Rattus norvegicus: one gene and its partners. The protein of the gene in region 1 purifies or fractionates together with the protein of each later gene. This does not show direct contact. Links are inferred from orthologs where the notes say so. Each region holds a gene or a part of one and is shown on either strand. Other genes may lie near its edges.

Region 1 (3,519 bases):
GAAGCAGAGAAGTGTGCCGGCACACCCAACTGGGCTTGCTTTAGTAATGAGAGGATTAGAATGCAATTCTGCGGTCACCGAGGCTGTCTCATGTGATGCTCACTGATGGTTTTGTGGGGTGTGGAGTAAATTACATGTGGGTCTGTTTCATGACATTGAAACTCTTGTAAAATAGCAGGCAGCCGGGAGGGGAAAGTAGCCTAGAGACGACTGTGTGGCGGCCATCCATAGACGTGCTGACACAAACCCCAGAGCACAGGCATTGGCAGGTTCCTTCTGCAAGTGTCTGCGCATGGGGGATGGAGTAGGAGTGAGGGGGTACGGTAGAGAGAGGAGACCATGGGCCCCAGAGTGGGAAGGACAAGGAAAACCTGTGGGAGGGAGTCTGAGACAGAGAAAGGTCACCTAGCGCACTGTGTGAATCTGGGGCTGGAGAAGTGGAGAACAAGGGGCCTTTAGAAGTTTTGTACTCAGTGTGGAGAGAAAGTTGTATGTATGATCTTTGTTTTGGGCAAGCAGCTAATGATCGTAGCAGAAGGTAGCCAGAAAAACACTCCATGCTCTAAGGTTAGGACCTTGGGTCAAGGAGGCAGCTGCAACAGGACAGAGAGGCACGGACTCAGATATCTGTCCGTAGGTCTTTCTGGATACTTCCCGGTAAATGCAGCACAGAAAGCAAGAAGTCGCATGGGTCCCATAGCAGGCAGGACACAGGAAGTACATGGCAGTGTTTCAGGTGTACCAGTGGGAACACTCCCCATCCCATCAGTTGCCCCAGAAGCTTCATCATGTTCTCATCATTGATCATTTCCGCAGGAGGCATGCTTTTCCCAGTAGCTTAGCCTCACTTGGTGTACATACTATCCTCCTGGAGACCTGTGGTTCTGGGCGTCCTCCTTTGAAGTGAGGAAGGAAACCTGTAGTCCTAGCCTTGGGGCATTGCAGCTGTCCTTCCTGAAGTTCATCTGTAGTAGCCCCTCCCAAAGGCACACTCAGGAGGACCTGCTGAGGAAGAAGTATAGGCTGAGGAAGGGGAAGCTGGCATGTTGCCACAGGCTTGGAGGGTTCCTTCTGGTCCTCCTATAGTGCTTGCCCTTCTGGTCCTCCTATAGTGCTTGCCCTTCTGGTCCTCCTATAGTGCTTGCCCTTCTGGTCCTCCTATAGTGCTTGCCCTTCTGGTCCTCCTGTAGTGCTTGCCCTTCTGGTCCTCCTGTAGTGCTTGCCCTTCTGGTCCTCCTGTAGTGCTTGCCCAAGAGATGAGGCAGCAAACAGGAGCCCATGCAAATAAACGCCAGGTTTTCCCGGCATCTGCCTTTGAACGTGAAAGCATAAAGGACTGCAGGAGCCTGACCCATGCTGACCCCCCACCTAGCTCAGAGTAATAGGTATTCATTTGGTGGCTTTTGAGTAGCTAACATAGGCCAACCCAGTATCTTTCTTCCTCTTGACTAAAGTGTGACCTCACTGTCAGAACTTCATCCTGGAAACTCCGCCTGGGCCCAGCACCCTTTCCTGGGCTGCTTCTCTGCCCTGCTGACACCTGACACTGGGGTCATAATCTCCCCACTGTACTCTCCCTGCTTTTATCATGCTATCATGACCTTTGTGCTGTGCTTGTGCCTGCTGACCAAGTGCTTGGGACCCTTACCAGCTCTGCCACCTCCCAGCTTCTAGGTCAGATTCCACACTTAGCCAAACCCATAGTCACCCATTTGGTTGGCCCCATGCTAAGGCAGAGCCATGTGCCCTCTCCTGCATACAAGCACCCATCTCTGAGCATGCACGCTACCCTTTTCTGTTCTCTCCTGAGTGTGTGTTGGATCAGATGGTAAAGCGGCTGAGCATGAACCCAAGTTCTCTGTGGATCAGGACCATTTCCTAGGGGATGCGCCAGCTCCAGCCAATCAGGGATCTGCCAACCTCGTCCTCACACTCTCTTTGTTCCCCAGGTCCCGGTCCTTCTCCTCGTCCCCATCCCCATCTCCCACACCTTCCCCACACAGACCTCCAGTCAGAACCAAGGGGGAGCCGGCCCCGCCTCCCGGGAAAGCAGGGTGAGTCCTGAGCCCCTCCACAGGTCACTGTGGTGCTCCACCTCCGTGGGGTCTCCAGGGCTTCCAGCCTTCTCCACTCTCCCCATCCCATGCTTGAACTAGAGTGAGCAGCCTCCAAGGGGCAGCAGATATGGCTCCCAGGTGGGCGGAGGTGCGGGCTCAGCACCTACACTCGGGTTCCTGTGGCATGGGACCTTGGCAGTCATGTGCTGTGCCTGAACTGCAGAGCCCTGAGATGTGGGTGTATTAAGCAGGGACCCTGGCCCTACCCTTCCCTGACCCTGCTTCTGCCTCACAGGGAGAAGTCAATAAAGAAGCCAGCCCCGCCCCCAGCCCCACCACAGGCCACCAAAACTACTGCACCTGCTCCTGAGCCTGCCAAGCCTGGAGATCTCCGAGAAGCCAGGAGAAAGGAACGGCAAACCAGGACTCCCCCAAGGAGGTGAGCAGTGTGGACTTACAGCAGTCCTGGTACAGTTCTCCTTGTCCTTGGTGCTGCTGGGTATAAATGCTGACGAAAACTGGAGACCAGGAGGTGGGTACATCCCCAGAGAAGCAGCAGGGAGCCGAGGCCCAACCTGGAACAGGCCCATTACCAGCCTGGTGTGCAGGAAGGCTCTCTCCATGAGGCGCCTCTGAGGAGACCTGTGCTGCTTGTGTTGCAGGCGGACGCTCAGCGGCAGTGGCAGCGGCAGTGGTAGCAGCTACAGTGGCTCCAGTTCCCGATCCAGGTCACTTGCTTGGTCCTACTCCCTATTGACCTTTTCCCTCCCTCACCAGGTGGGCTGACCATGTCCGGGGCTCTTCAGTGTCCAAGAACACAGCTCAGGGTGACCATGGCCTCCCTCCCTTCACACAGGAGCACCTTCCTAACCTGAAGGGAAGAGCCCTAGACTGGTCCTTCTACCCAGCTGGACAAAGCTGAGGCCGGTCCCAGGTTCTCTGCCCACAGAGAACTGAGGAGAGACTGGGTGTTCTCTGGGCCTGCCGCTCCCTAGTGGAGGGAGTCAGCCCTGAAGTAGTTGGGAGGAGAGAGTTAAAAGAAAGAGTTAGAAGGTGGAGTCAGCTTGGTGCTTTTGGAATCTGGTTGATCATTTTTCCTTCTATCCTTGAGCATCAGGGCCTTAGCTTTTGTCCAAGGCTTTAGCAGTCTAGACTTTCAAAGACCTGTGGGGCTTTTATTTGTTGGCTTTTTGAGACAAGGTGCCCAAACTCGCTCTGTAGACTAGGCTGACCTGGAACTCATGGAGATCCACCTGCCTCTGCCTCCCAAGTTCTGGGATTAAAGGTGTGTGCCACCATGAACCCTTGGTTCTGTCTCTCCCTGTCTCTGTTCCTCTGTTCTGTCTCCTGATGACCTTAGAAGAAGCTGGTTGGTGTTTGTGATAGACACGTCATGGCTCTGCTGGTCAAAACTGTATCACCATCTACTCTCCCCATCCCACTCCACCCCTGTGCCTTGTAG
Region 2 (3,519 bases), on another chromosome or scaffold:
TTTTCTTTGTTTTAAAAAATACTTCTGTGCTGCTTTTGTGTAACTGGTCTGTTTTTAAGAGACAACATTTGAACTTCAGTGTTCTCTCAGCACTCTAGACCCAGGGCCCCTAGAAAACAGGAGCTGTGGTACCTGCGTGAGATTCCAGGAGAGATGGTTCCTTGCAGTTCTGCTCACAAAACGTGCTCTGGCTGTCTGAGGACTTGAATGTAAAACATTCACTAGTGGTGGTTGTTTGTCAGCCATGTCACCTAGAGATAGCAGTGCAAACAATGATGTGCACCTAAGTAGCATAGAACGTTTTATTTTTTAATTCTTTAATTTTGTTTACAGTCAAGTATTTATCTTCCTTCAAGTCTATCCTCTGACCTCATCCCATACCTCCCCCACCCCAGTAGATCTCCCCACTCCCTGAGGCCTCAAGTCTCTCTAGGGTTAGGTGCATCTTCTCTCATTGACACTAGACCATGCAGCCCTCTTTTGTATATGTGTTGGGGGCCTCATATCAGCTGGTGTGTGCTGCCTGGTTGGTGGCTCAGTGTCTGAGAGATCTTGGGGTTCCGGGTGAGTTGAGACTGCTGGTCTTCACATGGGGTTGCCCTCCTCCTCAGCTTCTTCCAGCTTTTCCCTAATTCAACCACAGGGGTCGCCTGCTTCTGTCCATTGGTTGGGTGTAACTATCTGTGTCTGACTCTTTCAGCTGCTTGTTGGGCCTCTCGGAGGGCAGTCATGCTAGGCTCCTGTCTGTAAGCACACCATAGCATCAGTAATAGTGTCAGGCCTTGGGGCCTCCCCTGAAGCTGGATCCCACTTTGGGCCAGTCACTGAACCTCCTTTCCCTCAGTCTCTTCCCCATTTTTGTCCCTGCAGTTCTTTCAGACAGGAACAATTCTGGGTCAGAGTTTTTGACTGTGGGATGTCAACCCCATCTCTCCCCTTGATGCCCTGTTTTTCTACTGGAAGTGGACTCTACAAGTCCCCTCTCCCCACTGTAGAGCATTTCATCTAAGGTTCCTCCCTTTGAGTCCTGAGAGTCTCTCACCTCCAGGGTCTCTGGTACATTCTAGAGGGTCCCCCCACCTCCTACCTCCCATTCTTTCTGCTGGCCTTCAGGGTGCATAGAACTTTTTAACTAAGCTACTCAGGACTTCTCTGTCCTAAGACTAGGGTGATGAGTTTATATCAGGGTTGCCCATGGCTAACCTCTTGTCCTCCTAGACCATTTCTTATCTGTCATAAAAAGGATACCACAATACTGCTGTTTAGCCTAGCTTACCTAAAACACAAGGCAAAACTGGGCATGGTTGAGCCTGCCTTTTTTTATCTCCTATCGCCTAGAAGGTAGAGGCAGGTAGGGTCTCTGAGTTTGAGGCTACCCTGGTCTACAGAGTGAGTTCTGGGCCATCCAAGTTTACTTAGTAAGACCTGTTCTCAAGGGGGGCGAGGGGGGAGGAAAAAATATAAGGCAACATGTTTTTCTTGTTGTTTACCTAGATACCAATGAGCTACCTCCCTCCCTCGACAGCACCTTAGCACTGTCACTCGGTATTGTGTTTCCTGGCAGAGTTTCAGGTTGGAGGAAGAGTATTGAGAGCAACAGGGCTGGTTGGGGAATAATTAAGATGTGCAGCACACAATTATCCATAAACTATTGGTGTATACAAAGTTATGCAGAGTTGAAATCTAATTCAGCTGGCTTTCTGGTATGCATAGGAAGTTTTGAGTTTTTAAAGAAAGCAGTATTTCAGTGATGAGTCCATGTACATTGGTCTGCACACCTTGACTTAATTACAAACTGTCAAGTTGTCAGAGCTCTGCATGCTTTGTTACTGCTTCAAATTTTATTAAAATAAGCAAAAAACAGTCTAATGAGTATGTATAGGAATTTTTCACTTCTAAAAGAGTAATCTTTAATCTAATTGTTCTTTAGTGCTTCCTTTAAGGACATTAGGGACAGACACAGGGCATGACAGGATGTGTTGCTGTTTTCCTGAGATATTTAGTTTTCTTTTTCAGGTGGCTATCATCCAGTGAAAATCGGAGACCTCTTCAATGGTCGCTATCATGTCATTAGGAAGCTAGGATGGGGGCACTTTTCCACCGTCTGGCTATGCTGGGATATGCAGTAAGTATCCTTTGTCATCATGTGCTCTTGAGTTATGCTGCACATCTGCCGTCTTTACTGGCTTTACTGCTGTGAACAGACACCATGACTGAGGCAATTCTTATAAGGACAACATTTAATTGGGGCTGGCTTACAGGTTCAGAGGTTCAGTCCATCAACATGGCAGGAGCATGGCAGCATCTAGGCAGGTGCAGAAGGAGCTTAGAATTCTGCATCTTAATCTGAAGGCAGCCAGGAGCAAACCTTTTCTAAACTGGGCAGAACTTGAGGATAGGATCTCAAAGCCCACCCCCCTCAGTGACACACCTCCTCCAACAAGGCCACACCCACTCCAACATTGCTACCCTCCTAATTGTGCCACTCCCTGGACCAAGCATATACAAACCACCACATCCGCTTTTAAGAGGATGTAGTCAAGGGTCATGCTACCTGGTGGCGTGTGAGGCGCTGCTTAGCACAGGCCCTGCAGTATTAGATCTTCACCCCACTCTTACATGCCTTCACTTATATTTTTAAACAATGCTAATTGTAGTTTGTGAGCCAGTTTTTTTTTTTTTTCTTTATCTTTTTTTCGGAACTGGGCCTTGCGTTTGCTAGGCAAGCGCTCTATCACTGAGCTAAATCCCCAACCCCTGTGAGCCAGTTTTTAAAAATTGCTTTACATCAGAGCCTGTTACTTTTCTATTCATTAATTCATATCAGGAAAAAAAAACCCAGATACAAATTGAAAATGTATAGGTCTTTCAACTCAGTGTTCTGTGACATTGTTTAAAAGCCACATGGACGAAGGCAGGAAGCCTCATTATTGCACAGCTGACCCGTTCATGTGTAGTTGTGTGTTTGTGTGTGCATATGAACATACATGAAGCAATATAAAGGAATACTTTTCCCTCAGTGCTGTTAGCTGACAGTTTTCCTGTCTACCTGTCTTAATTAGAATTGAAACAGCAAACATAAGGCATTGTCTAACCCATGAACACTTATTTGTGTTGCCCAAACTTGAAAAGTGTGATTTTAATTAAATGTTATTACTGTATGTATGAATACATGATATATGTGGGGTGTGTAATGGTGCATTTGCTGCAGCATGAGGACAACTTTGTAGAATGGCCCCAAAATGCTATTTTAAGGGGAAGTTTACTGCAAGGGTCAATTTGTTGCCTGCTAATTGGCTACACCCACTGTAGAAATCACTTCTTACACTGGTAACATCAATAACCATGCTTTGTTTTATCTAAAGAGGGAAGAGGTTTGTCGCCATGAAAGTTGTAAAAAGTGCACAGCATTATACAGAGACAGCCTTGGATGAAATTAAATTGCTCAAATGTGTAAGTAAGCAATACATACTGAGTAATAAAAAGTAAATGGCTAACTACTGCATATACCTTACTCTG
Region 3 (3,519 bases), on another chromosome or scaffold:
TATACTTTTCCTGCTGTGGTAGCCAAGCTTCAAGATGTCTCCAGTGACCCATGCTTCCTGTTACTCAGAATCTGTTCAGTCTCTATACTGGTCTAGAATCTATAACTGAGAAAATATAGTAAAACTCTCAGCGTGTCACTTCCAATAATCAGTTACAGGAACACTACCTGAGGCGGCTTCCTAGGAATGCTCACTTGTGTCCCGCTCACCCTGGAGAAAGCTCTGCTATGGCTTGAGCATGATGGACCTCCACAGAGAATATCTGCTACTAAGGAATGGCTCCAAGCAAACTCTCCACCCGATTCCCAGCAGAGGTAACATAACAATTCTGACCCGCATCCTGACTATAGACAGGATGCTAAGGATTAAACTCAGGTCCTCATACCTTGTGCAGACAGAACTTAACCAATCCCACGTATCCTGTAGCCCCATCTGGACTTCAACTTGCTATGGAGCTAAAGAGTACTTGGAAGGCCTGAGTCTCACAAGTGCCAGAAATGCACGCACGTCTCCCCGTGCAGTTTAAACTTCAGTCAGTGTTTGTGGTAGTTTTTTCCACACAGCATCTTACGATGCCCTAGCCGGTCTTAAGCTCCAATCCTCCAGGCTCTGCTCCACAATGCTGATCATAGGCATGCCACTCTCATTCTATGCTATGCTTGGGGGTCAATGCAGGGTTTTGTGCATGCTAAGCCAGTACTCTACCAACCAACCTAATTTCATCTCTCCTAAATTCCTTAAACATGGAAAAAATGTATGAGCTCTATTATAAACAATAATTAATGATTGTTTTATATTTTACATTGTAATTTTTGAATGACACCTCTGAAGACTTCTACATCTACTTCTATAAATAACAAAAAATTTTCACAATTAGGAAGAAATGAACTTTGACCCTGAATCTGTCCCATAATATTCACCAGGAAGCAGCAGGTTGAACTATTTTATATAAAAGAAATGGAATTACAAATAGTATCAATAAAATGAAATGTATCAATAAACAAAACCAGTGCCTATGCTATAAGCTAAAAGGTCTTTAAAAAATTCATTTATCATATATATTCACATTTTCACAGCCAAACTACAGTTTCTATCTCTAAGCTAGATAACTAAATAGGAAATAATGATTATTGACATCACAAAAATCAAAACCCTCTTTTATGTCAATTATTAAAGTTATCTAATGTCAGGAACAATGGTCTTACATTTTACTTCCCACTAACCCAAGAAAGAGAATGTAACACATAATCACTTGCTAATTACAATCAATGGCTCATTTGAAGCTAGAAATTTATGAAGTCATATGTATAGACATAGGGTCTGGGGAGTGGATCAATAGGTAAAGTACCTCCCACAAAATCATGGGGACCCGAGCTCACACTCCCAGTCCCCTCATAAAAGCCAGATATGTCTATAACCACACTGGGTGCAGGCAATCCGAGGTTAGAAAATCCCGGGGGCTGATGGCGATCCAGTCAAGCCAAACACTTCAGCAAGAGACAATATCTTAAAAAATAACGTGGAGAGAGCATGAGGAAGACCCCAATGCTGGCCTCTGGCTTCTGATACAAATGTACCTGCATGTGTACATACACAAATACACAAAGTCACATGTATGGTACAAGCTAGACTGGTAGTACACGTCTACAGTCAGCGACTTGGGAGACTAAGGTACAGTCCTACATTAAAGACTGGCCTGGACAACTTAGTGAGACTATCTCAAACTAAGTTTTTAAGAAAGGGAAGGTAAGGAAAGAACACTGTAGAATATGTCACTGGCCCTAAGTTAATCCCTACCCCTAAAATGAACAAAAATGCACATTTTAAAATATTCAAATGAGGGGCTGGAAACATGGCTCAGGAGTTAAGAGCATTTATTACTCTTGGAGAAACTCAGCTCACAAGCATCCATTACATCCGGTTTCAGGGGATTTGACCACTCTTGACTTCTATAGGCACACACACAGTACACATACATATACACAGACAACACATACATATCCACACACACACATATATATTAGGTACAAAATTAATTCTTTTTATTTTAAAAGAAAAAGTCTCAAAATCACTTCACCTGTTCTGGGAATGGTCAATGATAGAACGCTCACCTAGCATACGATAAACCCTGGGTCTGATCCTTAGCACTACCGAATAAATTAAAAATCAGAAAAACACATATGGCAGGGCATGGAGACACACACATTTAAATAACAGCACTCTGGAGAGAGAGCCAGGCAGATCACTGTGAGTTCAAGACCAGTCAGCCTGGACTACATATTATGTTCAAATGATTTAGCAGTTTCCAGTGTCTCAACACACACACATACACACAGAGAGACATACAAGTTTCCAGTGTCTCAACACACTATACACAGGGCTGTGGGGAGTAGAGCACATTTAAGTTTAAAAAAAAAAAAAAAAAAGAGTTGACTTACCCATATGCTCTGTTGTCAGGTAAGCCACTATGGGCTCGTACTCCCGGGGGTATAACTCGGACTTCATTGATATAAACCACACATGGAAAACGAACCACATCTATATGAGAACTTTGCTATAAAAAGGACGAAACATACTTTAAGTAAAACATTTTTCAATTCAAAACATACTTTTTTTTTCTTTTTGGCTTAAAATGAAAACAACAATCTTAAAATCCAGAGGTGAGATATAACAGTGTTGTAAAAGCACAGGATTCACAAGTTGGGGATTGGGGGGTGGGGAGGTATGCAGTGCAAGCCTTAATCCCAGCACTTGGGAAACAGAAGCAAGTGAATCTCTATGAGTTCGAGGCCAGCCTGGTCTACAGAATGCCTTTCAGAACAGCCAGGACTACACACAGAAAGATCCTGTCTCAAAAGAAAAAAAACAAAAAACGAAAAACTAAAGCAAGCAACAACAGAAAAGCACAAGCCTCACATGTTCATCAGAAACACAGTCCAGATCACTAAACATACCATTAACTTTTATATTAATTATGCTGCTATATAAATCACTTTTTAAAAAACAGCAGATGATGGGACTGCAGAGAAGTCAGCAGTCCAGAATGCAGGCAGCTTTTCTGAAAGGACCAGAGTTCAGCTCCTAGCATCCATTACCACCCGATTCCAGGGAGCCCAGGGAGTCCTCTAGACTCCAAAGGCATCCACATAAATGTGGCACACAGAGAGATACACACATACACATAAATAGTATTTTTAAATAGCTGATGGTTTATCCTAATAATGTACCTAGTTAAGTCTCTCAATTGGTATTATATAACATGTTCTGTATTACCTCTTCAATAATGTTTACTTAGACCAAACTTTTTCTGTTCATGACTCCAGATACTCAAGAAATTTTAATGGATGCTTCAAATATATGGATATATAAAACAGACATCCATTGATAAGTGAAGTAGGAAATGAAGTCGGCAAGTCTGTGCACACCTTTAAACGGAAGGTTCAGACTGTGACGTGCCTTCCACCCTTTCTTCCAATATTCTGCTGCTTTTCTAAAACATAATGTCATGATGAGCTACCA

The links. The genes of interacting proteins can lie anywhere in the genome.
Region 2: the proteins of Zc3h18 (region 1) and Srpk2 purify together in Homo sapiens (affinity purification with mass spectrometry; 3 studies listed by BioGRID and IntAct, with this or other methods). This does not show direct contact. The link is inferred for Rattus norvegicus from reciprocal best matches to the Homo sapiens genes ZC3H18 and SRPK2.
Region 3: the proteins of Zc3h18 (region 1) and Virma purify together in Homo sapiens (affinity purification with mass spectrometry; 3 studies listed by BioGRID and IntAct, counting the BioPlex papers as one, with this or other methods). This does not show direct contact. The link is inferred for Rattus norvegicus from reciprocal best matches to the Homo sapiens genes ZC3H18 and VIRMA.

Annotation. Positions count from the first base shown.
Region 1 is NC_086037.1:67,380,032-67,383,550, forward strand, and holds part of Zc3h18 (zinc finger CCCH domain-containing protein 18), read left to right. Parts: intron 1-1,949; coding exon 1,950-2,054; intron 2,055-2,352; coding exon 2,353-2,496; intron 2,497-2,719; coding exon 2,720-2,785; intron 2,786-3,519.
Region 2 is NC_086022.1:12,502,743-12,506,261, forward strand, and holds part of Srpk2 (SRSF protein kinase 2), read left to right. Parts: intron 1-2,016; coding exon 2,017-2,125; intron 2,126-3,365; coding exon 3,366-3,453; intron 3,454-3,519. UniProt on the Homo sapiens protein: Serine/arginine-rich protein-specific kinase which specifically phosphorylates its substrates at serine residues located in regions rich in arginine/serine dipeptides, known as RS domains and is involved in the phosphorylation of SR splicing factors and the regulation of splicing.
Region 3 is NC_086023.1:29,765,092-29,768,610, reverse strand, and holds part of Virma (protein virilizer homolog), read right to left. Parts: intron 2,555-3,519; coding exon 2,439-2,554; intron 1-2,438. UniProt on the Homo sapiens protein: Associated component of the WMM complex, a complex that mediates N6-methyladenosine (m6A) methylation of RNAs, a modification that plays a role in the efficiency of mRNA splicing and RNA processing.